5 linked regions of the Coturnix japonica genome follow. The protein of the gene in region 1 interacts with the protein of each later gene in a pairwise test. Links are inferred from orthologs where the notes say so. Each region holds a gene or a part of one and is shown in the gene's direction. Other genes may lie near its edges.

Evidence for each region. The genes of interacting proteins can lie anywhere in the genome.
Region 2: the proteins of TXLNA (region 1) and CCDC146 interact in binary tests that used the Homo sapiens proteins (3 or more experiments, as listed by UniProt). The link is inferred for Coturnix japonica from reciprocal best matches to the Homo sapiens genes TXLNA and CCDC146.
Region 3: the proteins of TXLNA (region 1) and DEUP1 interact in binary tests that used the Homo sapiens proteins (3 or more experiments, as listed by UniProt). The two-hybrid records come from large-scale screens. The link is inferred for Coturnix japonica from reciprocal best matches to the Homo sapiens genes TXLNA and DEUP1.
Region 4: the proteins of TXLNA (region 1) and keratin, type I cytoskeletal 20-like interact in binary tests that used the Homo sapiens proteins (3 or more experiments, as listed by UniProt). The two-hybrid records come from large-scale screens. The link is inferred for Coturnix japonica from reciprocal best matches to the Homo sapiens genes TXLNA and KRT20.
Region 5: the proteins of TXLNA (region 1) and HYPK interact in binary tests that used the Homo sapiens proteins (3 or more experiments, as listed by UniProt). The two-hybrid records come from large-scale screens. The link is inferred for Coturnix japonica from reciprocal best matches to the Homo sapiens genes TXLNA and HYPK.

Annotation. Positions count from the first base shown.
Region 1 is NC_029538.1:4,543,369-4,550,042, reverse strand, and holds the start of TXLNA (alpha-taxilin), read left to right. Parts: upstream 1-2,408; 5' UTR 2,409-2,579; exon of another isoform or gene 2,580-2,593; intron 2,594-2,943; 5' UTR 2,944-2,979; coding exon 2,980-3,088; intron 3,089-3,890; coding exon 3,891-4,229; intron 4,230-4,715; coding exon 4,716-4,807; intron 4,808-5,155; coding exon 5,156-5,326; intron 5,327-5,703; coding exon 5,704-5,898; intron 5,899-6,089; coding exon 6,090-6,209; intron 6,210-6,495; coding exon 6,496-6,570; intron 6,571-6,674. Other genes in the region: KPNA6 (importin subunit alpha-7), read left to right, coding at 1-22, 1,024-1,208. UniProt on the Homo sapiens protein: May be involved in intracellular vesicle traffic and potentially in calcium-dependent exocytosis in neuroendocrine cells.
Region 2 is NC_029516.1:11,495,149-11,501,490, reverse strand, and holds the start of CCDC146 (coiled-coil domain-containing protein 146), read left to right. Parts: upstream 1-2,673; 5' UTR 2,674-2,817; coding exon 2,818-2,842; intron 2,843-5,226; coding exon 5,227-5,393; intron 5,394-6,342. UniProt on the Homo sapiens protein: Essential for sperm flagellum biogenesis and male fertility.
Region 3 is NC_029516.1:166,306,963-166,313,473, reverse strand, and holds the start of DEUP1 (deuterosome assembly protein 1), read left to right. Parts: upstream 1-2,842; 5' UTR 2,843-2,944; intron 2,945-3,764; 5' UTR 3,765-3,785; coding exon 3,786-3,829; intron 3,830-5,401; exon of another isoform or gene 5,402-5,477; intron 5,478-6,511. UniProt on the Homo sapiens protein: Key structural component of the deuterosome, a structure that promotes de novo centriole amplification in multiciliated cells.
Region 4 is NC_029542.1:4,173,008-4,179,325, reverse strand, and holds the start of keratin, type I cytoskeletal 20-like, read left to right. Parts: upstream 1-2,649; 5' UTR 2,650-2,708; coding exon 2,709-3,128; intron 3,129-3,358; coding exon 3,359-3,441; intron 3,442-3,642; coding exon 3,643-3,799; intron 3,800-3,995; coding exon 3,996-4,157; intron 4,158-4,239; coding exon 4,240-4,365; intron 4,366-4,506; coding exon 4,507-4,727; intron 4,728-5,643; coding exon 5,644-5,684; intron 5,685-6,077; coding exon 6,078-6,175; 3' UTR 6,176-6,318. UniProt on the Homo sapiens protein: Plays a significant role in maintaining keratin filament organization in intestinal epithelia. When phosphorylated, plays a role in the secretion of mucin in the small intestine.
Region 5 is NC_029525.1:18,268,017-18,273,046, reverse strand, and holds HYPK (huntingtin-interacting protein K), read left to right. Parts: upstream 1-2,658; 5' UTR 2,659-2,756; coding exon 2,757-2,942; intron 2,943-3,011; coding exon 3,012-3,067; intron 3,068-3,253; coding exon 3,254-3,305; intron 3,306-3,455; coding exon 3,456-3,551; 3' UTR 3,552-3,661; downstream 3,662-5,030. Other genes in the region: SERINC4 (serine incorporator 4), read right to left, coding at 58-130, 384-510, 583-678, 933-1,144, 1,207-1,300, 1,393-1,472, 1,556-1,734, 1,919-2,059 and 1 more; MFAP1 (microfibrillar-associated protein 1), read right to left, coding at 4,696-4,878. UniProt on the Homo sapiens protein: Component of several N-terminal acetyltransferase complexes. Inhibits the N-terminal acetylation activity of the N-terminal acetyltransferase NAA10-NAA15 complex (also called the NatA complex).

The DNA of each region.
Region 1 (6,674 bases):
AGCATGATAGAAGAGGCCTACGGTAGGTTCTGCTGCCCTCGGTGCCACTGACTCTGAACACAGTAGAATATATTGGAAGGGTCTGCTAGTTTTGTTTGCTTTTCTGATGAGTTAAGGGGCTGGGTGTGCTCCAGATGAGCTGGTATTTGTTCCAATAATAGATCACACTGTCTTTGTAGAATGTTACAATACAGCATAAGATAATGTCAGGAAGCAAACACTACTGTGCTTGTGATCCAGGTTTCTTAGACCCAGAGGCCAGGCTGATAATTGCGGCTCACACTGTTGGGAATATTAATCAATGTAAGCTGAGCTGAGTAAGACCCACTTCTTGGGTCTTTGATTTGTCTAATTGTCCCCAGCTGTGCACTGCAAACGCATGACAGAAATCCAGAGAGACGGAGCTTGTCCCTGGAGAGCCCTAATTTGGTGGTTTTGTCCTGTTCCTAATGCTTTGAGGAACGGTTCCTATTTTGGTCTGAAATGCCCTGTATACTGTCAGCATCGTTTTTAATGTTTTTTCCCTTGCCCTCTCACTGACTGTTACATTGTGTGTCCTGGTTCCTCCAGTAAGAATAATTCTTGACATTCCTCAGTGTGCAGTGCTCGGATTCTTCCCGTTCAGCAGTGGGTTTAATTAGGACAGCTAAAGTTGTTGCTGCCCTTCTGCTGAATGCTGCTGGGACAGGCCCTGCTTCCTTCCCCTGCAGCTGCTGAATGTTCCCAGCCAGTGGCACAGATTTCACTGCCCAGTTCAGTGCTCGCAGTTCTTTGCTGGAGACTTCCTGCTTTACTGCATCAGCTAAACCTGCAACTGGGAAGGTTAATGGTTGCTGATATAGATAAAATCCACAGGCAGCTCTGGAGAAATGGGAATAGTTGGCTTTAGCTGTCGGTGCTGCTCACAAAATGCTCACGTAACACAGACAAGCAATGAATAGGGGGAAGGGTGGAGGATGGATCGGGACAGCTTGAACGTTAGGATCTCCTGTCTCATCACATTCCACTTTTGTCTTTTCTAAGGCTTGGATAAGATTGAATTCCTCCAGAGCCACGAGAATCAAGAGATTTATCAGAAGGCATTTGATCTGATTGAGCACTACTTTGGAGTAGAGGATGACTCTGCTTTAGCTCCCCAGGTAGATGAGAACCAGCAGCAATTCATCTTCCAGCAACCTGAAGCCCCTATGGAAGGCTTCCAGCTATAATACGCCCCAGGCAAAAAGACCACCACAAATTTGCCACAAAACAACTGGGAGAAGCTGCTGATCCCATTTCCTCCTTGCAAACGGAAGGCTGGACGCTCACTCCACCTGTTAGGAAACAATTCTTCCTTCAAACGAATAGACAGAGTGCTTTATCCTCATGAAGAAAATGGGATGTCTTGCACGTTTATTTTCTTTTTGCTGCTGCATACGTGTCTTTAAAGCAGGCATCTGGGTGGAGGAAGGACACTGAGGTAACTCGTTGCACCTCTTGGGTTTATTTTTCTTTGTGGTGATCTCTCCCAAATGTCACTTCTTACCTCGGGTACTTAATTGAGGTTTCAGCGTTGGGTTGGGTAAGAACAGAAATAGAAAAGCGAGTATTCAGACGAGAATAATTCTGGAAACCTGGGTTGATCTATTTAATTTTTTTGCACATGTTACTCTTATTAAAGACTCTAATTTGCCAAGAGCAGAGTTTAGCCCTGGCCTTTCTGCGCTCCCCATGCAGCGATCCTGGCAGAGCTGGGCTGGATTCACACTGCAGAACATGGACAAAGGGTGAGGGGCTGTGGGAGGATCCTCCCCGTGTCCTGATATTGTTGGTTGGTTTGAGCTGCTGCTGTTGACAAGGGTCGAAGCAGCCGGAGCTGGTGGCTGTGAGCAGGGCTGGGGCTGGGGGGGCTGTACTATGGGAGCTGCCCCATCCCCAGCTGTATTGGAGCCCCACAGCCCGGTTCTGGTGCTGTGTGAACACACTGGGCCTCATTTCCATGTTTCCGTCCCGCTCACAAACATTTTCCTTCATAAAGTCTCAGATCTGTGTATTTTATACGATCTATCGGCACCTGTTTGTCTAATCGGGCTCCAGAGGAAACCAACACCTGTGTAATGTAATGTGTGTAATAGCGCTGTGAGCCGTTACCTGCACACGAGGCCCGAGCTGCTCCCGTTATAGCGCTGTGTGTGGCCGCGCTCACGGTCGGTTCCTCGTACCGGGCCGGGATCGAACAAAGCGCTGAGCGGAGCCGGGCCGGGAGCGAGCGGCTGTGGAGACCGGGGGGGGCGGAAGTGGCTGCCGCGGGGCACGCCGGGAGTTGTAGTTCCCGCGGCTCTTCCCGCTCCTCGCCTCTGTCTCCCGGCGGCCCCCGCGGCTGCTCGGCGCTGATTGGTCGGCGGAGCGGGGCGGCGCCTGCGCGATGAGCGCACGCTGCGAGGCCCGGCCCGGAACCGCTTCCTTCAGTGCGGGACCGGCGGGGGGAGCGGGCGTTGCTGGGCGCTGCTGGGCGCTGCCCGCCGGTACAACGGGGCTCTGCCGCCTCAACCGGCACCGACCGCACCGGGAGGAGCGGCCGCTACGTCACAGCGCTGCCGGTGACGTCACGGGGGTACGGGCGTGACGTCACGGCGGGAGGAAGGGAGGTGTTGATGACGTCACGGGGGTCACGTGGGATGGCGGGAGCGGACGGGGGCTCCGGTCGGACCGGGGGGATCCGGGGATACCGGGCTGTATGGGGATACAGGGCTATAAGGGGATACCGGGATATGTGCGGGGATACCGGGCTGTGTGGGGCTGATACCGGGCTCCATGGGATCCGGTGCCGCGCGGCTCCTCGATGCCGTCCCCGTGGCGCAGCGCTGGGTCGCGGCGGGTCCCGGTTCCCGGTTCGGTCCCGGTTCGGTCCCGGTTCCCGTCCGCTCCCTCCATTCCCCGCTCCAGCTGCGGTTTCCGTTCCAGCGGTTCTCCCGGTGCTGAGCGCGGAGCGGTGCCGCCATGAAGAACCAGAGCGGAGACGGCAAAGCGGCCCCGCGACCCGCGGCCAAAACCGGCGGCGATCCGGGGGACGAGGCGGAACCGGCAGAGCCCAGCGCGGCCATGGAAGGTGCGGGCAGCGCCGCGTCCCGGTATTGGGTACGGGGCGGCCCGTTCTGTCCGGTCCGTTCTGTGCGACTCGTAGCGTTGATCCCAGCAGCACAGAGTCCCTGAGCGATCGGTTCCTTTAGTGCTGCTCTGTGACATTGAGACAGGAATGGGTGGTCAGCTCACAGCAGGTTCAATTAACCTTGCCCTGCGTTTTAGTAACTGTGGAACGTAGGAGATGCACAGCAATGCAGTGAGTTCAATAGCTGATGCTGTACAGCTCTGCTTGGGAGGAGTTGTGGATGTAGAGAAGTGCTGAGGGGCTGCTGGGATGGGATGGATTGTGCTGGGATGGGGATGGGATGGGATGGGGATGGGATGGGATGGGATGGGATGGGATGGGATGTGGGTCTGAGCCGCTACAGCTGCTCGTATATGTGAGCAAAGAGGCAAACTCAGCTTATAGATCTATTGTTGTGCAAAAAAGGCTCTGGGGATATTAGCAGGCTGCTGCTCCGAGGGAAGGCTCACACACAACCTGCTTTGGTTAGAGGATGGTGGGAGGGGGCAGTTCTTGCTCCTGACAGATGTCAGGGTCTCGGTCATGCTCTCGTGATCAAAAGAGGCTGTTAGGAATGCACCTCCATTGTCAGGGCAGCTGGCTGGAGGCACAGCCTGAACAAAGCAGTTTGTGTGCTGGGAGTTCAGCCCGCCCTGGTGCACTGAGGTGCTCGGGGAAACCTTCCCCTTGCTGTGTGTGCGTGGAGAGCAGAGAACAGGCGGCGTGGGGAAGCATCACGCCTTTGTGCTTGTATCTCCGACAGCTCCCCTTGCACAGGACGACACAAAGTCCTCCCGGGCTGCCGTGCAGGATGTCTCTGAGGAGCTGAGCAGGCAGCTTGAGGACATCTTGAACACGTACTGCGTGGATGCCAGCCAGGAGGGTCCGGGTGAGGACGGTGGGCAGAGTGAGCCCGTGGAGCCAGAGGAAGTGGAGAAGTGCCTCAGTGAGTCCCCGAGGAACGGAGATCAGGAGTCAGGCAGCCCCGAGATGAATGGTGAGAAGGAAGGAACGAAGGGGACCGAAGAGTTTCGACCTGGAGACGAGTGTGGAGAGCGGGATCAGAAGAAGGCTCAGGAAAAGAAGAAAGCCAAGGGCCTCGGTAAGGGGTTTCCTGCTGTGGTTGTGCTGCCAGCCTGAGAACTTTGGTGCAGATGTGGATTTTATACTGCACTAAGTGCTGTTAGAGAAATGAATACCTTAGGTACGTGTTTGGAAATAGTACAGCATCTTATTCTTGTGGTATGGGAGGAAACGTTGAGTGTTGCAAAGACACTCATCAGTCCTGAGTGCTGCTGCAGCCTCTGAATTGTGCAGGTTTCCCCTCTGCTGCACACAGCGTTGTCTAGTTGGCCCCTTGGTGGTTCCCTACTCTGATAACCACGTTTCTCCTCAGCTGCTTCAATTGTTCACTGCTGTATGTGGTGAAATCTGGGGGACAAACCCCCAAATAGGCACTGGAGATGGGAACTCTGGGCCAGGGTGGTCACAGGTGTGAGACCTGGTTTCTGTCTCCTGTCCTTGCCTTTATAAGCCACAACTCCATGTACGTGACGTCACCTTTCTGTTTAATTCTGTCTCACTGCAGGCAAAGAAATCACTTTGTTGATGCAGACCCTGAACACCCTGAGCACGCCAGAGGAGAAACTGGCAGCACTGTGCAAGAAATACGCTGAGCTGGTGAGTCCTCGTTTCTTCATTCCAGGCTCTGGGGCAGTGGGAGGACGCTGCTGCAGTGAGCACTGGGACAGCACTCAGAGCTCTGCTCTGTTTAAGCATTGAGTGCTTGGAGGTCCTGAAGGAATGTGCACTTCTCACCAATTCCAGTAGGATGTTAATTCAGGAAGGAGAAAGGCTGTGTGTGGGAGACCTTGGGTTCTGTATTCATCTGACTGTGCTTTTTATTATAAAGCTCCTGTCCTTTCAGAGTAGACAGAACACCTATTTGATCCCTGTGTACCCTTATATGGGCACAGCATTGCCCTGGTCTGTTTTGCTGCATCTCTGCCCTCTGCTCTCCTACCCTAGCTGGAAGAACACCGAAACTCCCAGAAACAGATGAAGATTTTGCAGAAGAAGCAGACACAGTTGGTGCAAGAGAAGGACCACCTGCAGAGTGAGCACAGCAAGGCCATCCTGGCCCGCAGCAAGCTGGAGAGCCTGTGCCGTGAGCTCCAGAGACACAACCGTACCCTCAAGGCGAGTGTCTCCTGGGATTGCTGCAGGAGCTGCTTCCTCCCAAACCCTTAGGTCACCTGCTGCAGGGCTGATTTTAAGGAGTGGTCGCCCGCAGTCTGATGTCCAGTGCAGGATTTCAGTTGTGCTGTTAATCTGTTATCTTGCAAGGGACAGCAGGGGAGGGAGCTGACCCTTGTGATTTTATTTTGAAGGAAGTGATCATTTGTGGGCTTGCTCAGCTCTTGGAGTGAAGGAGCTGCCATGCAATGGCCTGCAGAGCCTTCCTGATTGATACCAGCAGCAGTGGGAAGTTGGGTGGGTTCAGATCATCACGGCCCAGGGAGGTTTGTTCATCTGCCTGATGTGATGCCACGTTGCTGTCTGCCCTTCTAATACAGGAGGAGGGTGTCCAGCGAGCACGAGAGGAAGAGGAGAAACGGAAGGAGGTGACATCCCACTTCCAGGTGACACTGAATGACATCCAGCTGCAGATGGAGCAGCACAACGAGAGGAACTCCAAGCTGCGCCAGGAGAACATGGAGCTGGCAGAGCGGCTCAAGAAGCTCATTGAGCAGTACGAGCTGCGGGAGGAGGTGAGTCGGGCCTGGCATGGCCTGCTGTGGTGCACCCATTCTGCCCTGTGGAGAATGTTTCCAGGGCAGAAACTGCTGCTGGAGGGGAGAGAGAGCCCTTGGGATTTGAGGTCATTCCTTGGGATCTGTGCCACGTGGGTAGCAGGGCCCTGACCTCGCATGTCAGTGACTGGTGGCATTTCCTTTGGCAGCACATTGATAAGGTGTTCAAACACAAGGACCTGCAGCAGCAGCTCGTGGATGCCAAGCTCCAGCAGGCACAGGAAATGCTGAAGGAGGCAGAGGAGAGGCATCAACGGGAAAAGGACTTTGTAAGTCTTAGTGATTCTCTGCTGGTTATAAGCACTGAGCTGTTTGCCCTGTTTCTTTGTGGAGGTTGGGTTCCTGAGTGCAGTGCCCTTAAGAGATCAGGCCATCCCAGCTGTGTATGCAGCAGTGACCATTCTCCCAGCTGCTTCAGAATCAAGGCTGGAGCCCTGTGCTGTTGGTGGTGTTTCTCCCAGCCCCCTGCTGACTCCAGGCCAAGCACCAGCAGCATATGGCATATTGAGAGCTTTCCCTGGCAGCAGTGAGGTAACTGCTTTTGCTCTTCCCTAGCTGCTGAAGGAAGCTGTGGAATCACAGAGGATGTGTGAGCTGATGAAGCAGCAGGAGACTCATCTCAAGCAGCAGGTGAGTTACCTGCTCTGTGTGTGCTCAGCCTGGTCATTCATTTTTTCCCTTCCTCCTTCAGCAGGGAATAACCTGTGTTTCCTTAATTAGAAAAACACAGAGGC
Region 2 (6,342 bases), on another chromosome or scaffold:
TTATAACCGGGATGTGGGGATGGGGGCGTTGCTTCTTGTTTCGCCTCAGAAATCGTTAAAGGAGGCACAGAAAGGCCCAATCTGACAAATGCTGGTGTACTATAGAGAAATAGGGCACTACCGAGACAAAAATACAGCAATGATCGTGGGGCAGAGCTGCAGTGTGCGGCAGTGCCGGCAGGGGGCAGCAGACGCAGCAGGTTGGGCGCCCCTTACTGCGGGGACTCGGCTCCACACCTTTGCTTTAACACTGATTCCATTTCACATTGAATGCTCCCTGTATCATTATTCTTGCTGGTGTTGCTCGTGCTGGGGTTGCTCTCTTCAAGAACCCATCCTTTGAGTTAACACCCAGTGCTTGGGCAAGGTTAGCCCCGCTCAGAGCTGGCTGTTCATTTGTGTTTATTCAGCTTAAGAACTTTAGAATCATAGAATCATAGAATTACCCAGGTTGGAAATGACCTCGAAGATCATCAAGTCCAACCGCAGCCTAATCATAGTACCCTAACTCTAACAACCCTCTGCTAAATCATATCCCTGAGCACCACAATGTCAGGATACATCTTCTTAAGTTTATTCAATATTCCATGTGTTTCTACTGTAGAATATTTACATGGCATTACTGTAATCTGCTTTTTTGTGGTTGGCAATTTAAGTTGTTCTGTATCTTACTGAACTGCTTCCTTGAGCCCTCCGATTTTTCAGCTCATAGTAGGGCTTGGTGGTTAGGTAGAGCTTGTTTTGTTTTGTTGTGGTGTTTCGGTGTGTGTGTAGCGACGGAAACAGTTTCTTCTCGGGGTACAGAGGGCAGAGAGGCTTTGATTTCAGGGCTGTTTTTTGTTTGTCATGCTACAAGAGCTCTGAGGAAATCAAGTTCCTCATGGAAACCAAATGAAAAGGGAAGTGACAGTTCTCACCATTCAAATCATCCGTATCTAAGCCCTATCTCACTGTGGCTCCAGCAGATGAAGTCTGTGGGTGGCTCAGGGTGATTCCATCCTAAACAGCAGGGACTTGAAAACAAACAGAAACAATGGAATTCATAACAGAATTATTAAGCAATTTAGGTATGCAGCGTGTTATCATCTCCCAAAAACAGTTGTCTGTGTAGCTGCGTGTCTAATCAAACAAAGTACTCTGAATTGCTGGAATAATAACCTATTGTAACTATGTAATTTTAATTTCAGCTGTTGCTTAATGTTGGTATAGCTTTGTGTTTTAAAGACACAGCCTTTAGAGCTGAAGCTTTGCCCAGTTAGTACAGAGGTCTGGCTATTTACGAGACTTTAACTAACTTTAACTATAGGAAAGAAGCATTAGGAAATACGATGTTAGGAAATGAAAATCGCTGTGCCATTGAATAAATAGCCAGTAGCCCTTTGTTACCAATAGTACCTCATCCCTCTCTTTGAAGAGGAAATGATAGAACTGGAAAGGACTTGGAGAAGGATGACAGAGACAGCAGAAGGCAGAGAAGGACTTTATTACCAGTAGCTGCAGGTAGGTTGTTTTCTTCTGCCTAGAGAAAGGATTACCAAACAAGGAGACTGTGCTGGAAAACAAGTGGCATAGAAAGGTTGAGCTTATTCAATGACCCATCCAGTAAAAGAACTAGGAGACATCAAGGAGCCAGATTCAAAACAAAAAGAACTGATTATGCATGTCTCAAAGAGGTAAAATGAGAAACTCCATTGTGTCAGATTTTGCAGATACTGAAAGTTTTGCATAAGTTCAGGAAAACACCACTAATGGATTCTTCTGTCTGCCCCCTGGCATCCAGTGCTGGCTGAAGGTGTCATGAGCTAAACCAGCTTTGGGTCTCTCTAGGTATCAATGCTCTGATCTTCCAGCTGAGTTGTATGACTTTTTTCTGACTAATCCAGTGCAAAATGCTAAGCCAGTTGTCTCATTCTCAGAGGCCATGTTTCTTATTTAAACATTTGTGTGCAAACTAGTCAGCATGGAGATGCAGATAAATATCCTGTGTCATGCTCAGTAGTTTGGCTGAGGTTCTGTTCATTGTCTCCCTGCTCTGGGTGCTGCCTCCCAGCCAGCAGGACAGATGGGAATGTGCTCTTTGGCTAACTTCCATCAAAATTAGCCTCTTTATCTCATACTATTGACTTAAAAATAGTAAGCTTCCTTAGCTGATTTTGCCTGAGAAAATGGTCCTAAAGCCATTCCTCCTGCAGATCAGCACTGAAGGAGAAGGAAGGTAACATCCTCCTGCAGAGGAAGGCAGTGATACCCAACATCCACTAATGTCACTGGCTTGGGAAGGAGATCTGTGTCTATGGCCTTGGTTTATCTTAGTGTGGATTTACACCTATTAATTTAAACTTGCCTAAGCTTTAGCTTTGTGCTCCTGTATGAAACAAGAAAACCTTTAGTGGTTTGGAGCATTTATGTTTCTGCCCACACCAATTCAACTAACTTGGCTTAACTGTAATGGATCTGTTTTCTGAGGTAACCCAATTAAGACAAAGTGTAAAGTGTTAATGAAGTGTAGTTCCCTCAGCAGAGACTTTTATAAATTCAGTGCTTTCTTAATAAGTCTAGCTGATGCATCTCCATACGTAGAGCTGTATCTCTTCGTGTTCAGAATGAAATTTTACTGCTTTTACTTATGTTACCACTTACTGCAGTTGTCATTTTAGACGGAGCCAATACAACGACGCATGTCCTTTCTGTACTCTTCACTGGCTTTTGTATTAACGCTGCTGATTGCTGGAGAGGAACTGAAGTAAAGGTGCTGGAGTTCACCTTGGGAATCTGCATTCAGACTTTTATTGCTGTCCTGAAGCAATTTCACAAGACATGACCTGGGTTCTAAAACAGACTTGTAATTCTTTTCCTCAAAAATTCACTGTGTTGGTTCAAGGCCTTGCTGTTGTTTGCAGTTCTGCTGTTTAAGAACATCCATATTTATTGAACTGCTCTGTAAATATAGAAATCATTTCAGCTTTCATTGCTATTTGAATTAAACTGTTTATCAGATGTGGCAAAAATACTATTTTTCCAATTTGTTTTTTTGAACTGCATGTATGTGATTTTCTCTAAGCTGGATTTTAAATGTACTTGTGTAGTGGATAGTTGAAGAATGCTAAACTTCACATGTCTTTTGTTATGCTACTGCTTGCTAAGTGTTTTGAAAAGGCAAATCTGTTCTGTTCCTTCTTAAAGAACAATGGAGACTAGCATTTATCCCAATAGCCAAGGCTGTCTAGTTGTTTTCCTCTGTCTGATGGGTCTATATTTGTGTCTTATCATCATATTACAAACATTTCAGATTCAGGGGACCTTGTTCTCCTTTTGCTCAGCAAAATGTAGTCTCTGGTGAAAACATTTTTTGTGCTGTCATAAGGTGAAGAAGTGTTAACCTGGGTGTTTTTTTACTCCCATCAACTCTGTTTCACATACAGTTATAAATAAAGATGCCTACACAGGTGAAGCTCCCAGTTTTTGGCATTGCTCTGCTTAGAGCTTTTATTCTCTTGTGCTTTTCACTCTTCCTCATTTCTACCAGAAATTTGTACAGAGACACAAATAAAGCAACAGCAACCATAAAGGTGAAATGCATATTCTCAAATATTCAGCAATACTGTAGATGAGAAGCAAGTCTCCTTTTATAATTGTGTATATGTAACGGTGCTTCAGAGTTATTTCTTGGCCTCGGTGATGTTTACAGCTGTTTCACAATGTTTTGACTCCTTCAGGAGTGATCATGAAAGTGCTTTTTTTTTCCATAAGCAAATGCAGCTGCTAAAATCTCTCTAAAAGTCAGACTGTTCTTGAAGGAATTCCAAACAGCACTGAACAAAGTGCAGTTTATAGACCATTTGTAGGCTACCTTTATAGACAATAGATTTTTCAGAAAGTGGCTATGCTAAGCAAAACATTTTTATGTCATTTGCCCATCACAGCTGTAAAAAGAAAACACATTCTGCTGTCTGTCGGTTTTCTGACTTTGGAATGCAAAACTCTTGTTCTTTCATTGGAGAAACCTGAAGGATACTATTAAAATACTCACAAAAAACTTCCCTCGTTCTTACTGTGGATTTTTGATTTATAATATAAAGGATATTTTTGATGGAGAATAATGATAAGAGTAGATAATTTATGTGAGTTCAGCATTTTGGTGTCAAGATCCTATTCTATCATTATTGCAGCAGAATAAGTTACCCTAAAAAGAACTGGAAGAGTCAAGTGAACATTTGCAGCCATCATCAACATTTCTCCCCACATTTTGAACTAAAATACCAAGATAGTGATTTGTCTGCCCACTGCATCTAAAGCCAACTATAGAGAACTTGTGGAGAAGTGCTTGAATTCCTCTATATATATCCTGTCTCTTCTGCCCTCTATGTTTTACTCTACAAACAGTCTCTGGCTCTCCTTTCTTGCTATGGCACGGCAAGACGTGTGTGCCAGATTTCGTTATATATCTACCTCCTGTTCTCAGACTTTATATCATATTTTTGCATTTTGTATGGCTTTGTTGTTTTGTTTTTTCTTTCTTTTTTTGTTCATTATGACCATGCAGTGGTTTAAAACAAATGTTTTAATGATATTACACATGTCAGACAATGTCTTTTCCTCAAGAACTCTACATTCTGCAAAGCAGCTCCCTTTCTATATATAGGTACCTCACATGGTCAGAAAGTGCAGCAAAGGGTGGGCAGACATGGTTGGAGAGGAGAGGAGGCAAGTTCTTTGATTAGTACTATGACAGATGGAAAGTCATAGGAGTTATACCTGTGGTAATCCCACCTACCCAGGGATTTTCTTTATAAGGCAGAAGCTGAAGTCTCCACTTCAATGAATTTTCAAAACTCAGATAGTCAAAGGCCTAAAGAACTTGATTTAGGTTTCAAGTAAGCCTTGTTTATGTGGAGTAGAAATGACTCCTGAAGCATTTTCCAACTTTTATTCAACTTTTTTTCCCAACTGTTATTCAATGCCTGATCTTTAAGTACTGTTTTACGTATTCTCAAATGCTTATGTAAAGAGAACTTAGCCAACTGTTTGAGGATTCTTAAAATACGCAAACAGTGCTAGAGGGATAGTGCTGTCTCCTAGAAGTCTTTCCTGAACTTACAGAGACATCCAAATTGCTAACATTCTGGTTTTTATTGTTTGAATGTGGGTCTCGCATGTAGACACTGTATAGTCACGTGTATCCCAGGACCTAATTAATCAAATTCTGGTATTTTTGTTACTTCCTAGATCTCCAGAAAATGAGTGAAGTTGGTGATGAAAGTTCCAGTTCTGATGAAGAAGAATTGGAAGTCGAGAAGGAGGAACCCATCTGTGCTTTAGCTCCAACAGTCTATACCCGAGATGAAGTATCCACTGATGTAACATCAAGTCCTGCATTTCAGTGTTTAGATGAGGTATCATGTACTCTAGTTTCCTTAGCTACAGCAATGCAGATTGTGTCAAAATCAAATAATTGAAAATGTATATATTTTTGTTAATAGTTGATGCATGTTAACATCTGTAGCTTTCCTATCTTCTCTAATTTTTGTTCTAAGGCATAAGAATGTTTTATGAAGAAGGACCAAGCATATACTTCTTGCTGGAGATGGTGCACGTAACAGAAACCCAGGTTACTCTTTTCAGGGGGTGTGGCTTTAAGAGGTCACAATAGAGGTTGTTGTATTGATACTAGATTAAATCTTGGAATATCTTTCAAAATTTTCCATGTTAAGTATTTTCTATCATATTTTCTCTGAATTACTAGCTAGTCATTTATACTCTTGTAGCAGTAAATGCTTATCAGAAGGAACACCTTTTGATATTAAGATTTATTTGAGAACAAATATAGCCCTTCTGGCAGTAAACCTCCCAGCCAAACAAATCTTGTATTTCTCATGAAAATAGCAGAAGTTGCAATAAGTCAAGCTTGCAGAACTTTCTCCTTCATTTTTAATAACACATAGTAGCAGCGTTTAGTCATGTGGAGTTGGGAAAATCATTGAAAGCTGACTAGAGGTTTGAACAAAAGCCCCTCAGTCCATCATGAGTTGCTTCTTTTCATCAAGCATTTTTATTTATCACCAAGCTGACATCAATATATAACTCAGTACTTCCACTGCTGTTGGTTAGAAAACTGTCATACATTCAAAAAATGAACTTTCCACTTCTTTTTGCCTTTGCTGCTATGTCCTTGAAATAAAGACTTCTGCTCTAACACTTCTAATTGATTCTCTTGTCTTGTGTATCTTAACTCATAATCCTGTTCTCTTCTATTGTATGCTTTTAGAAATAAATAAATTTATATGATGTGAATAAGTTTAATGGAAAACTACACATTCTAGTACTTATTTGATGAAACAAATA
Region 3 (6,511 bases), on another chromosome or scaffold:
GTGCTCCATCACCCTCACCACAAAGCAGTTCTTCCACATGTTAGTATGGAACTACCTATGTTCAAGTTTTAGGCCATTGCTCCTTGTCCTGTCACTACACATCACTGAGAAGAACCTGGCCTCATCCATTTGCCTCCCACCTCCTTTCAGATACTTATAAACATTCGTCAGATCCCTTCTCAGTCTACTTTTCTCTAGGGTGAACAGTCCCAAATTACTCAGCCTTTCCACATATGGGAGATGCTTTAGGCCATCCATCCCTGGATGTGTTTAAGAGTATATGATTTAGCAGAGGGTTGAGTTAGGGTACTATAGTTAGGCTGTGGTTGGACTTGATGATCCTCAAGGTCTTTTCCAACCTGGGTAATTCAATGATTCTGTGATTCTATGATTTTTCATGTTTATATCTTGGGAATTCTGCCATAGGTTCTGTTGTCTGCTGTCTTTTCTTGTTGAGAAATGGCTTATGCTAAGCTACTCCTTTTCCTTTCCATCTACACTTTCTAAAAGAGCTCCTCTAAATTTAGTTGATATGTTCATAAGCATCCAAACTAACATAGAGAATATAAATATTAAAGTGTTTTTAGAGCTGCTGTGAATCCATCATGTGAGAGTTAATAAAACAATGTGATTTCAACACCAAAGAAAGCAATATCACATGTATGTTTCTTACAAGAGTCAGACTCTGTCTCTTGCAACAAAAGGGTTTTTCTCTAACACAAGTTTATCGTCTGAGATTGCAAAAAAACGGAATCAGTATATAAAATATCACTCATCACTTGTTGGGCTGCACCTGGAGTACCACATCCAGTTCTGATCCTTGTATTTCAGAAACATCATGGACAAACTAGAAAGGGTCCATGAAGACGATCAGAAATCTTGAGAACCTGACCAGTGAGGAAAGACTGAAGGAGTCAAGTCTTTCTGCCCTGCTGGAGGGCCAGGGAGGACCTCATTCCAGTACATACAAGGTGGCTACAAAAGGATGGAGGGTCTCTTTTCACAAGTCTCCACATGGATAGAACAAGGGGCAACAAGTCCTAATTAAAGAAAGAAAATTCTTATAGTGAGAACAATCAACTGCTGAAAAAAAAAACTCTCCAGGGATGTGACAGAAGTTCTCAAGACATGACTGGACTGGTGCTGTATAATCTCATCCAGGTGCCCTTTTCCAGCAATGGTTGGACTAGATGATCTTTTGAGGCCCCTTTCAGCCTCCATGCTCTGTGATTCTATGATTCTGAGTTCTAAATTCTCTTAGGACTTAGGACTTCTTCAAAAGCTCTTAATACAATTTGTTGGTGGAGTGGAACTGCAATAGAATTTAGGTTGCCTGCCTTTCAGCACTGTATCTTAATAACTACACACTTCCCAAACATTAGTGACAAAAGCTCTACAATTCCATGTGAAGTCCACACCAGTGGCAAAATACATCCTGTATGAAGGGACTCACTTCCAATGCTTCCCTTCAAAACAGGAACAGCTGTGGCATGTGTTCTGTTAGGTGAACAGACAGGATACCTACCCATCAATAATGTGGTGCAATGCTACGAAAGAAAGAGAAGAATCTGGCAATTCAGAGTTGCAGATATTGGAAAATGAACAACTCTCTTTATACAGCTTCTTCCAGTTCTTCTACTGGAGCTGTTAATCTCATTTTGCTTCATGAATCCCAGGACCAGGCTGAGCAAGGGGCATCCTATTGAAGCTATACATCTTTGTGCCCCCTGGATCACTGTTTGGATTTTCCTGTATTCTGTTGTTGCCAGGTAATTCTGAGTGTCTGCCTTGATAATTTTCCATGTTTGTTTGTTTTAATATCAATGCTGTGCCTCGTCTTGTTTGACATTTGGTCATATACTGTTTGGTCCGTGACCTGAAATAACTCCTCTTTATTTTCCTGCAGAATTGTGCTTATATCTTTCCATTAATTTGCAGGTTTTAAAGTAGTTTCTTTTTCTTTATTACTTTACTGGCTACCATAATTTAATGTATGTATAAATATCCTTTACAAAATCTTTAATTATTTGCATTTATTATGCTTCCTCTCCATCTGCTTTGAATACTACTAATTACCTTTACAAAGTCAACAAGTGAAAATTTTCCTTCTCATTAACAAGCTCTAGTCAAAAGATAACGTCGGTGAGCAAAAGCAAATTGAAAATGTCATGAATTTTGTAGGAGATTTTATTTTAATATAGCAAATGAGATACTCAGAGGAGCATCCAGGAGTTAGAAACACAACTTTGATTAAATGCAGTGGGAACCTGTCCTTCAGAAAAGCTTTTAAGGCATTGATATGTCATTTTGAAATTATTTTTCCGTGTGAATGTTGATATTTTTTCTTCACATTTTATTTGGGCATGATAGTTCAATTTCTGAATAACTGATTAGCACTGAGAAGGTATGAGACAGGTAGGAAATTAAAATGAGCCCAGTGGGAATAGGGGTTGAAAAGTTAAACTTCAAATGAACAACAGGGAATTTGCTGGCAGTTACACTGCAAATTATTTCCACAACGTATTTTAAATCCTAAGTTTATGAAATGTTTCAATAACCAACACCCATCCCAGCCATGAGCTGCAGCTTCTCTGTGAGAGTTCTGTGGAACACAAAGGCTGTGCTGAAGTCTGAGTAAGCAAACTTCATCACGAATTTTCCTGAAATTCTACGTATACTTTTAATCTTTCATTTTAAAAGCGTTGTTCATAATCCATAGTTTGCTCAGTCCTCCCGCCTCTCCCCTCACAGGTACCGCTCCCTCTTCCCGCCTCACCCCTCGTTGCCGCGGTGACGGCCCGGCGCGGCCATCAACGGCCGCGGGGCAAAGCGGGCGGGGAGGGCGGCGGGCGGGAGCCGGGGCGGGATGGGGGCACGGGAGTGAGCGGGCCGAGGGGCCACGGAGCCGGAGGGAGCCGAGGGAGCGGCAGGAGGAGAGCTGCAGGTAACGGGAAGGGAGGGGAGGGGTCCGCTGAGGGTACGGCGAGCAACGCCGGTGATAGCCGGCAGTGATAGCTCTCATCAGGAGAGGGGTGGTCAGCAGGGATAGGGAGGTGATTGTCCCTCTCTACTCTGCTCTTGTGAGGCCCCATCTTTCATACTGTGTCCAGGTGTGGAGCCCTCAGTACAAAAAAGACATGGAGATTTTGGAAAGGGTCCAGAGGAGGGCCACGAAGATGATCAGGGGGCTGGAGCACCTCCCCTATGAGGACAGGCTGAGGGAGTTGGGTTTGTTCAGCCTGGAGAAGAGAAGGTTGCGGGGCGACCTCATTGCAGCTTTTCAATACCTGAAGGGAACTTACTCCCAGGAGGGGAGTAAAGTCTTTGAAAGGGCTGACAGTAGCAGGACACAGGGAAATGGTTTTAAGTTAAAAGAGGGAAGATTTAGGTTGGATGTTAGGGGGAAGTTCTTCACTAGGAGAGTGGTTAGGCCCTGGAACAGGCTGCCCAGGGAGGTTGTGGATGCCCCATCCTTGGAGGTGTTCAAGGCCAGGTTGGACGGGGCCCTGGGCAACCTGATCTAGTAAATGTGTATGTTTGGTGGCCCTGCCAGGCAGGGGGGTTGGAACTACATGATCCTTGAGGTCCCTTCCAACCCGGGTCATTCTGTGATTCTGTGATTCTGTTTCCCTTCCCCTGTTGTTTGAGGCGGAAGAATCACAGAAATTGAAAGGAAAGCACTGAACTGTCCACCATGCACTGCTTTGCTAAGTACGGGTGTGCTTGGCATAACCTGAATTATATGATTTCTGCTTTTCCAACAGGTTAACAAGACTTTGGGCAGTATGGAGCAGGGCTTAGAAATGTTTCAGGAACAGACTCACTCTAAGTAAGTACAGACTATCTGGGGGTTTGAATGCGTAACGGAGTTGAATTATATCAGTTTATTAAGGATATAAAACAAAATATTAACAATTTTAGAAGCAAATATTCTTCTACAATATATTGGAATTCTTTTGTGAAAGGTGTGAAGAGGTTACTGACAACTAAGATAGCACAGTTTAGAGCTTTGATTTTCTACTTTTATGTATTTAAGTCCTTAAAATCTGCATACCTAAACAAAAAGAAAACAATGTAAACTGGGTTTTATTAAAATACTAAGAATTTTCATTTTGAGTGGTCTTCAAAAATTATTGAAGTTGCTAGGCTACAGCTATATAAACTTACATATCACAGCACTTAAAACATGCAAAAGTATTAGAAACAAGGTTATTGTTCAAGCTGTAGTTTTATTTTTCACATACAATAACCAGAATTGTTCAGCCAGGTATTATGTGCACTTCTCTTCCCAACACACTCATCTTTTCTCCACATCATCCAAATGGAGCTGAAGAAATGCAGTGCAGCTCAAACCATGGGTGAGATTTGATGTAGGATCTCACGTCATCCAGCCTGTTCAAGGAACAGAGCAAGATAGAGCACCTCTCCATATGTCGTATCAAATAGTTCCTCATATCGCTATTATCGAGAAGCAATCTAGCTAATATGGCACAAACTAAGTGTAAAAGTACTTCTTAAAGTAACAGAAACACAAATATTCACCCACACCTTATTCTGGATGAAGAAAGCTTTAATATGATGTGAAAGCATGCTCGGTTGTACTGAAGAATGATTCATGCAGTTCTTATAATGGAACAAAATAGCATGCTGCATTCCAAATGCATTCTGAACAACATAGCTCCTCTTTGGCTTTGAGGGCCATTCTTTTTGATAGTTGCTGATTGGTAAATATGGTCTCATAAAAACTTGAATTTTAAAAATATATATTGATATTCTTTGGCTACTTCTTTAATAAGTCAAAAGCCCATTTTCTGAGTTCAGACCATAGAATGGAATCATGGAATCATAGAACAGCCTGGGTTGAAAAGGAACATAATGATCATCTGGTTTCAACCCCCCTGCTATGTGCAGATCCATAGTTGTAATTGGCATATATGAAATTTCAAGCTGCTGTAGATGGATCTAGAAAGTGATTTATCCCACCGTACAATAGATGTTCTAGATAGCTATTTATTTCCATTAATAGTACCAAGAATCTTGAAGTTTAGTCTAGGGTACACATCCAGCGAGAGACCGACATTTCAGTCATAGAATCATAGAATCGCAAGGTTGGAAAGGACGTACAAGATCATCTAGTCCAACCGTCCTCCCTTTCTGTGCTGATGGCACTGCAGAAATAATGCAGGTAGCTTTGAAATTTGGAAAAGGGATGAAATTATGGGATAGAAATCATGACAATTATATCACATCTGCAAAAGCTCGTAAGTCACAAGTTATCCATCCACACATATATGACAATACATGGCTAAAAATTGTTAGATATATCAGTTGTATCTCATGCACACGGTAAAAGTACTGATGGAGAGATGTCACAGACAGCTTATATCTTTTGTATTTCTAGAGCAGCTCTTTAGAAGAGGAAAGGAGTTAATGCTGGCTCTAGAAGCTGGGTTAAGGATCATGAAGGCCTGAAGTTGGTAAAATTTACTATACAGGATTTATTTTCTCTAAATTTGGAAATATACACGTTTGACATGCAAATAAATAATCATTAATGACAGCAGAATATGAATCACCTCTATTTTCACTATTAAGGAAATAGAGTAGCTTGCCTACACCTCTTTAAAAATGAATTACTTTACAGTGTTTTCAGACATTTCATAGTAAATGCAACAGAGTAGCTCCCACTTGCTTAAATCCAAGTCATTGGTTCCATGTGGGAGGAATGCATTTGGTGAATGCAGTCAGCAGTGTAGGAGTGCTGAATACTTATGAGTAAAATTCCCATTCTTCTTCCCTTTATAGGTAAGCTTTTCCCTGTTTTTTTAGCTGATATTATATTAAACAAAATATGCCAGAGTTTTCCACATTCCACCTCCAGCGATGGAATGAAATTTGCATCATTCTCATACCATATCATTGGTCATATTTTGAGGGAGTATAGTAACCATTGTTTGCAAAACACCAAAGGGATTAAAATAACAGGCACAGCAGCTCTTAGTCCTCCTGTGCTAGTAGGTGGGGGTAGTTGCCAAGTGCATCTTTATGTAGTGATGTGCATAATGCTACAGCAATGTTAGGGAGCAGTTCTGGGAGTAGAACAGAACTCCCGCTCCTTTCAAAACTCCTTCCTCATGATGTCATATGGTACGGAATGTCCCTTTGGCCAGTTTAAGTCAGCTATCATGGTTCTGTCCCCTCCCAGCTTCTTGTACCTACCCCCAGCCATTCACAGGAGAGGAGAAACTGGAAATGGAATGGTCTTGGCTCTTTACAACACTGCTTAGCAACAACGAGAAATGTTATGTTATCAACATTATTTTTCTTCTACAACCAAAACATAGCAGCATAGCAGACACTGTGAAACCAACTAACTCTGTCCCAGCTGAAACTAAGACAATATTACCTCTGAGTATGTGGTTCAGTTTGTGTTTGATTAGTCGGGTTCTGCTAAAATAGAGTTCCTAATTACTTGGCACTTAGTTGGTCCACTCAATAAAATCTGCCAGAT
Region 4 (6,318 bases), on another chromosome or scaffold:
TGGAGAACTATCCTAAGGATCTTTTTTCACCCTTTCAGAAAAGCCTGCACTCTAAAGCTGCCATTGGCTCGTACCCACATAGCGGCACCGTGCCCTGAGCACCCACCGTGCTGCTCCCTTGGTTTTAAACCAGACCTGTGGCACAAATGAGGGAGCCCCATCTTCTCACAGGCAGGCTATGAAGAGAAGGGGGGAATTTTTCAGCCACAGAAATATGGATTTTGGCTGGAATACGCCTGAAACACTGAACATGGAACTCCTCTCACTTGAAGGTACTTTGTACAATGGAAGCCTTTTCACAACTCTATTGTAAAAGACCTTAGGGAATCAAATTCTTACGACGCAAAACCTGAACAGAAACCAACCATGTGGTCACAGGGACTAATAAGCAGGCACTGGATTTCACCATTAAAGCGGATCATCGCTAAAGCCTGAACTTAAAACTCCTTTATTTCAGTTAAACCTTTAATTCAGCCTAAAGGGAAGCCTGTGCCCCAGCTACAGGCTGCTCAAACCCACAGCCAACGCTGGGTGTGTCTTTTTTCCTGGAACTCCCATGCCCGGTTACCTCTGGCTGGTTGGTGACTAATACGAAACGGCACGCACACGTTATCAGACCCCTGGATGGTTATCTCTGCTGTGCTCTCAGTGTCCGTCACAAAGGTGACAGTCCTTCAGGAAATCAGCTTCCAGGCGTTGCTATGTACAGTTGTGACTACACACAAACCTGCAGGCTGACATCGCACTGTCTGTGCTCCATGGATTTGCTCACAGCCGCATCTCGAGTGGGAGCTGCACAACTAAACTGAAGCACCCCTGCAGCACTAGCAGCACTGCACTCACACCGATCACAGCTGCAGACATCAAAATTCATTGTATTCCACGACAAAAAAATGTATGGAGCGATAAAACCTCACCTGAGGTGTCAACTGTACCTGAGGGGAAACTATTTTAATAACTTGGAAGAAGACAAAGCAGAATGTCTACTGAAAACAAACCATTGGAGAGTCCTGTGAGAGATGCAGGCAGAGCAATGCACAGACAGCAGATGTAACTGTAGCAGGACTTTTGCTGCGTTCTTCTCGTGGTTTTAAAGATGTGAGCTCTGCCCTACAGCTGGAAATGATCCCTATTGAGTGCAGATAGAACAGACCCACCCTGTGTCTATAGCAACGGGACATTTGACCTGGCTGCTGGACTTTGACCGGACCTGCCATAAATGCACATTTATGCTTCTGAGTCACACCCAAAGCTCGAGGTCCAACCACAGTTCAGACACCTGAATGTACACTTTGCATCCTCATGGCAAGGAGCCCTGCTCTGAATGCTGCTCGTTTTGCTTTGGAAGATGCACATTTCCAGAGCAGCTGAACTCTGCCTTGTTACAGCTGCACTCAGCAAACTATTGGTAGTTCTGTATCCAATCTGAGCTGAACTGGTCCCACCGAATCCCACACTCAGCTCTCAGAAACCTGAGGATGCTGCCAAGATCCAGCATAGTGCCCAGAGAACAGCACGTCACCCATTGCCTTGTCCCAGGTTAAAAGACCAGTATGTACAGCAGCTCTTTTCCACTAATATAAACAATACATGTTAATTGTTCAACCTGAATAGCCGTACATTATTAATACACTGAAGTACACTAAATGCAGTGCCCCAAGGAACTCCACCTGCTTTGTCCTGCTGCACACCTGCTGCCTGCTTTCATGCAGCACCAGGAACTCCCCCAGCTCTGAGCTCTTTCACTCGATTTCCATTGTATCTCTGCCTGTCACATCTCAGCAGTACATACATTGCAGCTGGAGGAACTACAAAACACAGCTGCTGGGTTTCTTTGTGTGCTGATCAGAGGCAGCTGATTTCCTGTCAAAGGCAGAGCAGCCAGAGGGCACAACGTGCTGAGCACGCTGCCAGGGCAGGAGGGCTTGGAGCTGTGCTGGAAGCTTGGTCTCAGCACTATGGACCAGCATCTCACATGTAAAATAAAGGGAGCCATCCAGGTGGTTCTCATATCCTTACAGCTTTGCCTACTACATTTTCTGCCTTATCTCAACCACACTGCAGCCCAGTTCAACTTCTAAGGGCTTTCTATCACTGAACAGTGTACATTCAATGCAAGCAAACTACACCAGTCATTTTGACAACACTAAGATTACTGTTCTGTGCTTACTGTAGAATGAATGAAGGCGGTAGATACAAATGCCACCTTCCTGACCATTTCAAGACCTTCCTACACCATCCTCAGGCCCAGACGATGGCTCACACAACAGCAATGTACACTGGATTGAGATATAAATATTTAAGGTCTCTTGTCACATACGGTCAACTCATTTTAATTTCATAACCCGCACAGGGTTTGTTCGACAATGGCTCTATAGAGATAGGCTGGCTAGGCTGCAATAAATGATTCAGCAGCTCGTTTGTGTTTTATCTTTCATTCAAAATAAAAATGAATAAAGCTAAATTTCCTGAGCAGTTTTTTTTCAAACGCAGATGGAGAGATTAAAAACCCTTTGCATTACAGAGTGTGGGGACAATGTCCTGCATGTTATTTGTGCTGACACCAATTACAGTATGCGTCAAGAGAGGTGGGGTTTACAACCACCGTGCTTCCTCTTCCAAAGACAATATAAGGTTTACAGAGCACACAGCACTTCACTCCAACTCGCTGTCGTACAGTCAGCCGCTTCACCTTTGCAGGAGGCACGATGTCCTTCTCCACACAGAGCTTCCAGCTGGGTACAGCCGCCCGTTTGCAGGGCACAGCTCCTGGTAGCAGCGCTCTGTCCGTCAGGAGCGCGGCCGTGCAGCGGATCCAGGCGCCCAGTGTCTATGGTGGGGCTGGCGGCTACGGCACCCGCATCTCCAGCAGCACCGTCCGCAGACAGAGCTCCAGCGGTGCCTTCTCCAACATCTCTGATAACGACCTGCTGCTCGCTGGCAATGAGAAATCAACCATGCAGAACCTTAATGACCGCTTGGCTGCCTATCTGGAGAGGGTGCGCTCTCTGGAGAAATCAAACTCCCTGCTTGAAAAGCAGATCAAGGAGTGGCACGAGAAGAATACAGTGGGCATAAGGAGTGACTACAGCTCATACTTCCAAACAATCGAGGAACTCCAAAACAAGGTAAGATCTCCTACAGCCATCTATAAAAGCATAAACTGCAGCTTTGGGGAAGGTAACAATCTACTGTGGAAAAGTAGATCAAATAGGATCTGTCTCACCTGGGAACAGGAAATGCTTCATTCTGGCCAGACACAAATTAGTGACAGACTTTCTAATGTTTAAGACTCACTCAGTGTCCTTTGCGAGCTGCATTACCTCTGCTTCATCCCTTTCCAACCTTTCCTTTTTAGATCAGTGCTGCACAGTTGGAAAATGCAAGGCTTGTCCTGCAGATTGACAACGCCAAGCTGGCTGCTGATGATTTCAGACTGAAGTAAGTTCCACGCACTGCCTGCACTCCTTCATGCTTCAGTTATTCAGGATAACATCTAGTTATTAGTATCAAAGCTGAGAAGTAAACCACAGAGCTCAGTAAAAACAAATACTTTAGGCCTCGGGCTGTAGAAGTTATTGATTTGATGTTTCTGTCAAACTGCTGCACTTCTATGGTGGCGAAAGAAGCCTTGTTTTACAGGTATGAAAATGAGCTCTTGCTCAGGCAAAGTGTTGAGAGTGACATCAATGGGCTCATGCGAGTCCTTGACGACCTGACCTTAACCAAGTCAGATCTGGAGGCACAGATTGAAAGCGTGAATGAAGAAATCATTTTCCTTAAGAAGAACCATGAAGAGGTGAGAGCAGCAGAACAGTGTCATCATTTCTTTTTTGTCAGAGGCATTTACAAATTAAATTTAAGAGTTAAATTAAGAGCTAAATTTAAATTTAAGAATTAAGAGTTGCTCTGTTTCTGTATTTCTGAGCTTCTGCCCAATATTTGGGCCTGGAAGTTCACTTTAGCTGATGCTAACGCAGTGCTCAATGTTGTAGGAGGTTGAAAGGCTGCGCAAACAAGTGGGTGGCTCGGTTAACGTAGAGGTGGATGCTGCTCCAGGTGTTGATCTTGCAAGTATTATGGAAAACATGAGACGGCAGTATGAAGAAATGGCAGAAAAGAACCGCCAAGAAGCCAAAGAACGATTTGAAAAGCAAGTAAGGTCAATTGCTTCAACACCAGCGAGAGCCTCTGTCATGTCTGGTCACAGCTCACAGTCCTTCCATTTCCATATTTCAGACAGAAGCACTGAACCAGGAAGTAGCAATCAATGTAGAGCAGCTGCAAGAACAAAGGAGAGAGGTCACAGATCGGAGACAGATCTCCCAGAGCCTGGAGCTGGAATTACAGACCCATCTGAACATGGTGAGTGATGAACAGTTCTTGAAATAAGGGCTGTGTTTATAGAGATAACAACAAAAACTGGGACATATTTCAAAATGTAATTTTAAGGCCAAGATGTATCCTCTTGAACAATAAATCTCTGTTCTTTTTCACCAACTGTAGAAGAAGACTCTGGAAGATTCTCTGGCTGAAACTGAAGCACGTTACAGTTTTCAGTTGGCTCAAATCCAGGAAACAATTGCCAGGTTAGAGGCTCAGCTCAGGCAGCTGCGGGCTGACATGGAGGGGCAGAACACGGAGTACAGCATCCTGCTGGACATCAAGACTCGCCTGGAGATGGAGATCGCCACGTACCGACGTCTGCTGGAAGGGGAGGACATCAGGTGAGGAAAGGGGCTCCGGCAGCTTTGCACCACTGACAGCAGTGCAAATGAGCTCTAAATTCTCAGACAGAAACGGTGGTAAAATCTGCCTATTGGCAACTGGTTTTTGAAGGAAAAAAGTCTGCCTGCTGCCCGGCTCTCAGCTGTAGGCTCCAAGTCTGTGCTCCTTCAGAGGCTGCTGCAGTGTTCAGACCAGTCTATGCCACCCTCTGCACGGGTACACACTGTTACTCTTCTTGAATTGAGTATCTTGACAGCCGCCCACACTCCATGAACAAAAGTGATGCAGTTTTAGATAAACTTTTCCATAACTGTAATGACAGAAACTCAGGGCACATCATTTTAAACTGCTTTTGGTAGCATGAGCACCTGACCACATCAGAGCAAGGCACTCAGTGAGCGCACACTGACCTCCTGCAGTCTATGGCAAGTCTGGGAGCCCGTGCAGGATTCCATCCTGCTGCACTTCTGCCACCAGTAGCTGAGCCACTTATATACGTAGGAGGTGCAAATGAGCTGACATTTACTGTCTGGAAAGTCCAGCATCCCTTGCTCTGCAGTGCACAGAGGTCTGTGAAAGAGTGCAGAGCAGCACAAGCAGACAGCGCTGCTTCCCTCAAAGGTCCTATGGTTCAAAGGTCAGTTCTGGCTCAGGAACCAGGCCGGGCAAATCCTCCTGAGCTGAAGTTGTAACACTGCAGAAATTAGCCTGCAGGTGAATTTCACCTATAGCTGACGCTTAACAAAATTCACTTTAGTACTGAAAACTCATCTAAACACGTGACAAGGGCTGAACTAAAGTCTTGATGAAAGGAAATATACCTGTTTATATTAAAGGTGCAGAAAACATGCCAGGTTGTTTCTTCACTATGTCAGGCATAATATACTTACATTTTTCTGTTTAAAATCCGAACAGGGTTGTCCAAGAGGATATACTTACAAATGAACTTGAAAAAGGTATGTTGCACAGGCATGTGCTTTTGATGGCTTCCTGTTTAAATGTTATGGAATTAAGCGGGCTGATTTCAAAAAGTGCAGTTTCAGAGCAAATAATCAACTGGTGAAATCTTAAAACAAGAAAACAATCAACTGTATGAACAGGTAACCTCCAGGGATTATACAAGCCCTGCTTTATGTAAGTAACCCAGGTGCCAGAGGTAAAACCACAGGCTTCTCAAAGGGCCAGATGGATGGCAAAGCCATGGAATTCCTTTCCAAGGGCTTTCAGAGGTGTCTGCTTCTCTCCACTGACTGCACAGAGATTGGGCTCCTAAACGAAGTGCACACACTTTAACATTCTGTCAATGCACACTGCATTTTTATTAATTTACTGTTCAATTTCATTACCAGAATCAAGTAAAATTAAGAAGATCAAGACAATTGTTGAAGAGGTGGTTGACGGCAAAGTCGTGTCCTCTCAGGTTAAGGAGATTGAGGAGAAGATGTGAGCAGCACCAGCGGAGGGAGAGCACCAAAATGACACCATTAAACTTCATAAGGAAACCAATTTAATTCTCCCTGAAATCAACAAGGGTTGAAAAATGCCAAATCCTCAAGTCTCAGACAATCCAGGTTTTCATCTTTGTGTGTG
Region 5 (5,030 bases), on another chromosome or scaffold:
CCCGAGTGCTGCATCTGGGTGTTTGTGGCAGGAGGAGCCACAGATGGGGGTACTCACTTTAAACTCAAAGCTGTAGACTTTGACCATCCAGAGGGGCCCAAAGACCTCAGCAAGATAGGAAGCTTCGTTACTGTGCACGAGAGAGACCCAGAAAAGTGTGACACAAGGATCTATGGCAGGCCCCCTGCCCGCCCTTGGATCTGGCACCTGGGATCATCACAGCAGCAGCAGATCTGCTGTGCTAGGCCTGGGGACATCAGGCTGCCCACCTATACATGCCCTTGGGCACACCCCCAGCTCTACTGTCTATGCCGTGGGCTAGAGACAGAGCCCCCATTCCCGAAGGAATGCTGTGCCCTGAAAGGGCCAGTGGGCACACACACCATGCGAAGAGCACGCAGGCATACATGATGGCAGCTCCTAGGATGGCAACTGTGGTGTCCTCTGTTTGCAGCTCGTCCTGCTGGATGCCCGGGAAGCAGACGGTGAGGTTCTGCCCCTTGTAGAGCACTGCAGGGAGGCTCAAGTGAGAGCGAGCTCACACTTCAGCAGCTGGCTGCACATGGCAGTGGGAGCACTCACCTCTCTCTGGAGGACGGCTGGACAGTGCAGAGAAGGTGAGGTACATCACATAGCAGCTGATGATCGAGGACTGTAGCAGCCCTGACCGTGGCTGTTCTGCAAGGAGAGGGGTTAGAGGCTCCGTGTGGGTGCCAGTCACCCCCTTTGGCAGGTCCTGTGCCCAAAGCCCTGCACCAGGGCACAGCACAGGGCCAGAGGGAGCCTCAGGGAGCTGCACGCTCCACAAGTGCCCACGGCTTCTGCTGAGCTGGGAGTCTGCAGCCACCCTCCTGGCCCCAAGACGCAGCCAGCCCTGCAATGCAGCAGGCAGCACTGACACGCTATGCCATGTCATGCCATGTGGTACTCACTGAGCCGCACACAGGGGGTGATGGAGATGAAGGACATGATGCCGCATAGGCTGCCGTTGACAGTGAGCAGCACCTTGTTGAGCTGGCAGGCGGCCGGGTGGGTGTAGTACTTGTAGAGGAAGGAGAAGGCAGCGGAGGCGAGGGTGTAGAAGGCGGTGGTGGCCAGCAGCACAGCCAGGTACCAGCGCTTGTCCTGCGCTGCGCCCGTCAGCCTGCCAGGAGAGTAATGAGAGCCGGCAGCATGTGGGCACCCACCCAACCATTTTGCACTCACCAGTTCTTGTTCCAGGTGTGAGCAAAGGCGGTGATCAGCACCAGCTGGATGAGGATGAAGGCAAAGCCACCGCAGACGCCTGTATAGTGCCACGCTGCAGGGAGAGAGGGCAGCAATGAGGCCGGCATGAGGCTGTTGCCAAGACACCACAGGTGAGCACTGGCCTGGGCAGGGAGCGGCTCACACCTTGGATGAAGCTGTCCTCAGGGAGGAAGAAGCTGGCGGCGCAGAGACCCACCAGCACCAGCAGCTTCAGGAGCCAGAACCTGCAGGGCAGCGAGTGTCAGGGAGATGCAGCTGTGTGTCACCGAGCAGCCCCAGAGCACACACAGCCCGTCCCAGCCCGCACCCGTTGTGGATCTGAGCGCGGCAGTCAGCGCTGGAGCGCACGTTGAGGAGCAGGGCAGCCTGCGCCAGGTGGAAGCAGGCGGTGCCGAAGCAGACCCGGTAGACGGCCGAGGAGCCCACGAGCTGCGCACAGTCCGTGCCACCGGGCAGGTGTTGGCACAGCAACCCCGAGAACGGCATCTGTGGGCACAGAGCGACGGGTCGGGGGGTGTGACAGCACCTCCAGCACCCGTCAAACACAACAGCAGCCCCATATCACAGTAGCCCCATATCACAGTGTCCCCATATCACAGTGCCCCATATCACAGTGGCCCCATATCACAGCAGCCCCATACCACATCACTCCCTGCTGTTCCTCTCTCACCTTCTCCCTGACGGCCCGTGCCGCAGTTCGGGACAGCATGATGCAGCACACGGCGGAGGCCAGGACGTGCAGCAGGGTGTAGAGGACGCGGGTGCCGGTGGAGGCGCGCAGTCCCCGGCCGGGGCCGCAGCCGCAGCCCAGCTGGAGGGAGCGCGGTCAGCACCGAACGGAACCGAACCGAACCGAACCGAACCGAACCGAACGGAACCGAACCGAACGGAACCGAACCGAACCCCCGCCCGCTGCCCCGCTCGCACCTGGCCCAGCACTGAGCGCAGGACGCCGCGCGCCCTCGTGCCCGCCATGACCCGTCCAGGCTCATCTGGTCCCGATGGGATTAAGGGATTGCGCTGTGACCCGCCCCGCCAGCTGCTCGCTGCTCACACGGGTCACCCCCCGCCCGTGGGCGCTGCCGCGTCGCCCGGTGCGGCCCGAAGCGCGGAGCCGCGTCCTGGGGGGCCCGTGGGGGGAACGGAAACGGAGCTGAACGGAGCTGAACGGAGCTGAACGGAACTGAACGGAGCTGAACGGAACTGAACGGAGCTGAACGGAGCTGAACGGCGGCTCCTCGTGCAGCGGCTGCGGGAACACGCGGCCCATGGGGCGGTGCGTTACACACGGTGCGTTACACACGGTGCATTCATTGCACACGGTGCGTTAACACACGGGTTTGCGTTACACACCGGTGACGTACCACGGTCGGTACATTCATTACACACGGGCGGCCGCAGGGGGCGCTCTGTCCCCTCGGCCGCAGCTGGTGCCGCTCTATCCCGCACCCGCCCCTCCCTCCCCGCTCTCGCTGGTTCCGCCGGAAGTGAGGCCCGGGGGCGGCGTAATGGCGGCCGAGGGGGATGTGGAGCTGGAGTTGGAGACCGAGCCCAACGGCTCCGGGGGGGGCAGCGACGGGGCGGGGGGGAGAGCGGCCGAGAAACCGCGGAAACACGACAGCGGAGCGGCGGACCTGGAGCGGGTGACGGACTACGCGGAGGAGAAGGAGATCCAGAGCTCCAACCTGGAGACGGTGCGGGCCGGGCGCCGCTCGGGGACGCGCCGGGTCGGGGCCGCGCCGTGACCGTGCTCGTTCCCTTAGGCCATGTCGGTGATCGGAGACCGGCGGTCCCGCGAGCAGAAGGCGAAGCAGGAGAGGTAACCGACACACACGTGGCTCCGGGGCGGCCCCGACCCGCTCGGTTCGGGCTCGGCCTCGGTTCCTGCTCCGCTGCCCTGGGCGGGGCTCCCGTGGGTGCCGTGCTCCGCCATGGAGCCACTGCTGCGGCTGGGGCTGAACGGAGCCGCCCCTCCACTGCCGGGCGGTTCTGCCTCTGCTTACAGGGAGAAGGAGCTGGCCAAAGTCACCATCAAAAAAGAAGACCTGGAGCTGATTGTAAGTAGGGGAGGAAGCGCAATTGGCTCCGGCGCGTCCCAGATGTCAGGGGTTGCACAGCGGGGTGTCCCCGATGAGCTGAGCCAACCCCTCCCCCTGCTCCATGGGGTGGTCTCACGTCTGCGCTGAGCTGCGGCTGTTTCCCCACAGATGAATGAGATGGAGATCTCACGGGCGGCTGCGGAGCGAAGTCTGCGGGAGCACATGGGCAACGTGGTGGAAGCACTGATCACCCTCACCAACTGAGCACGGGCTGCTGCTGGCTCTGTGCTCCCTCGTTGTGAGAAGAGCAACACGGCCTGGGCTGGAGACGGTGTGCGTTAACTTATTGAATAAAGGCAGCGGTGGGAACAGGCTGTTCCTGTGGTCCGTGCAGCACCGAGCATTTCCCGTGCTGGGCAGATCTGAGAGGGCACCCGGTGATGGGGATAATGTGGGGACAATGTGTGGCATCAGGGTGGTGACACCAAGTTCCCTGTAATTAGAGTGTGAGTGCTGGTCCCTTTGTGCAGCTCAGTGAGCTTACCCAGGATTCTCATGGCTTGTCAGGCTGATCCAGGACAGGCTTTTGGTCTCCAGCACAGTGGCTCTGCCCTGACAGCAACTCCTGTCATGCTGTCCCCACTGCAGCAGGCAGAGCAGCACAGCTGGAAAGGAGCTGCTGCCGCCTTTGCCCCTCAGCCTCCTGAGTGAGGGCAGGAACCCTGATCACAAGTGATGCAGCACCCTTGGCAGTTTACCTTTCTCAGGCCCGTTGCTGCTAATGTTGTGTTGCTGCACTATTGAGGTGAGGGGAAGTGATTGGCCAGGGCAGGGTAACTCCACTACTGAAATTTGTAAGAAAACAATTGTTTTAATCAAAACAATCCCATCCCCCTGTACAGATAGAAAAGCCAAGCCCTGCAAAAACAGGGTTAGGAGTCTGTCACAGCTGTTCCCACCCAAAGGAAGATCCAAAATGACAATGGGGAAAGGTAGGAGGAATAGAGAGATACTGTGGACCAGACAGGGATAAGTGTCTGCTAGTTCCTCTGAAGGTGGGGATGCTGGAGCAGGGGGTGCTGTGCTTCTGTACAGCTGCTCTGGTGCTGCCAAGGCTCTCGCAGGCTGGTGGGGTGGTGACATGACCATGAGGCTGCTCAGCATGGCTGGAAGTCATCTGCCACAAGAACCAGCGATGGGAGTCTGCCGAGTCTCTGCAGTATAGGTCATGGATCATGCCACCAACTAACAGGGAGGATGCAGTGCAAGGGCCCAGAGGGACAGCTGATTGTGGCACGAGTCCTGGTGCGGTGTTTTGTCCCTGCTGTTCCTGCCCAGGCTCTCAGGCAGCTGATAAAGCAGTGCCTCTCTGCCCAGTCAGCCACAGGACGCCCTCCTGTCTGCTCCCTTAAGTGGTCTTCCGCTTCTTGGCCGAGGGTCTCTCGAAGACATCCCTCACGCCTGCTGCTTTCTGCTTGAAGAATTTAGTGTTCTGTGCACTTTCTTGGCCCCAGGCAGAGTCAAACGAGGTGGTATCCTGGTCTACCAAGTGCGTGTACTTTGTCCGTCCTGAGCGCCCAAAGTTCTTGACCTGGGAGGCAGGAAAGATTGTGAGCATCAGTTGGTGTACGATGTGGGGACCCTATCATGTCACTGCTCCTTCCCTCGTGAGATCCCACCGATCCCACGAGCCCCAGCTGAGCAGCACTGGTGGAGCTGGGGCAGCGCACAGACCTGCCACAC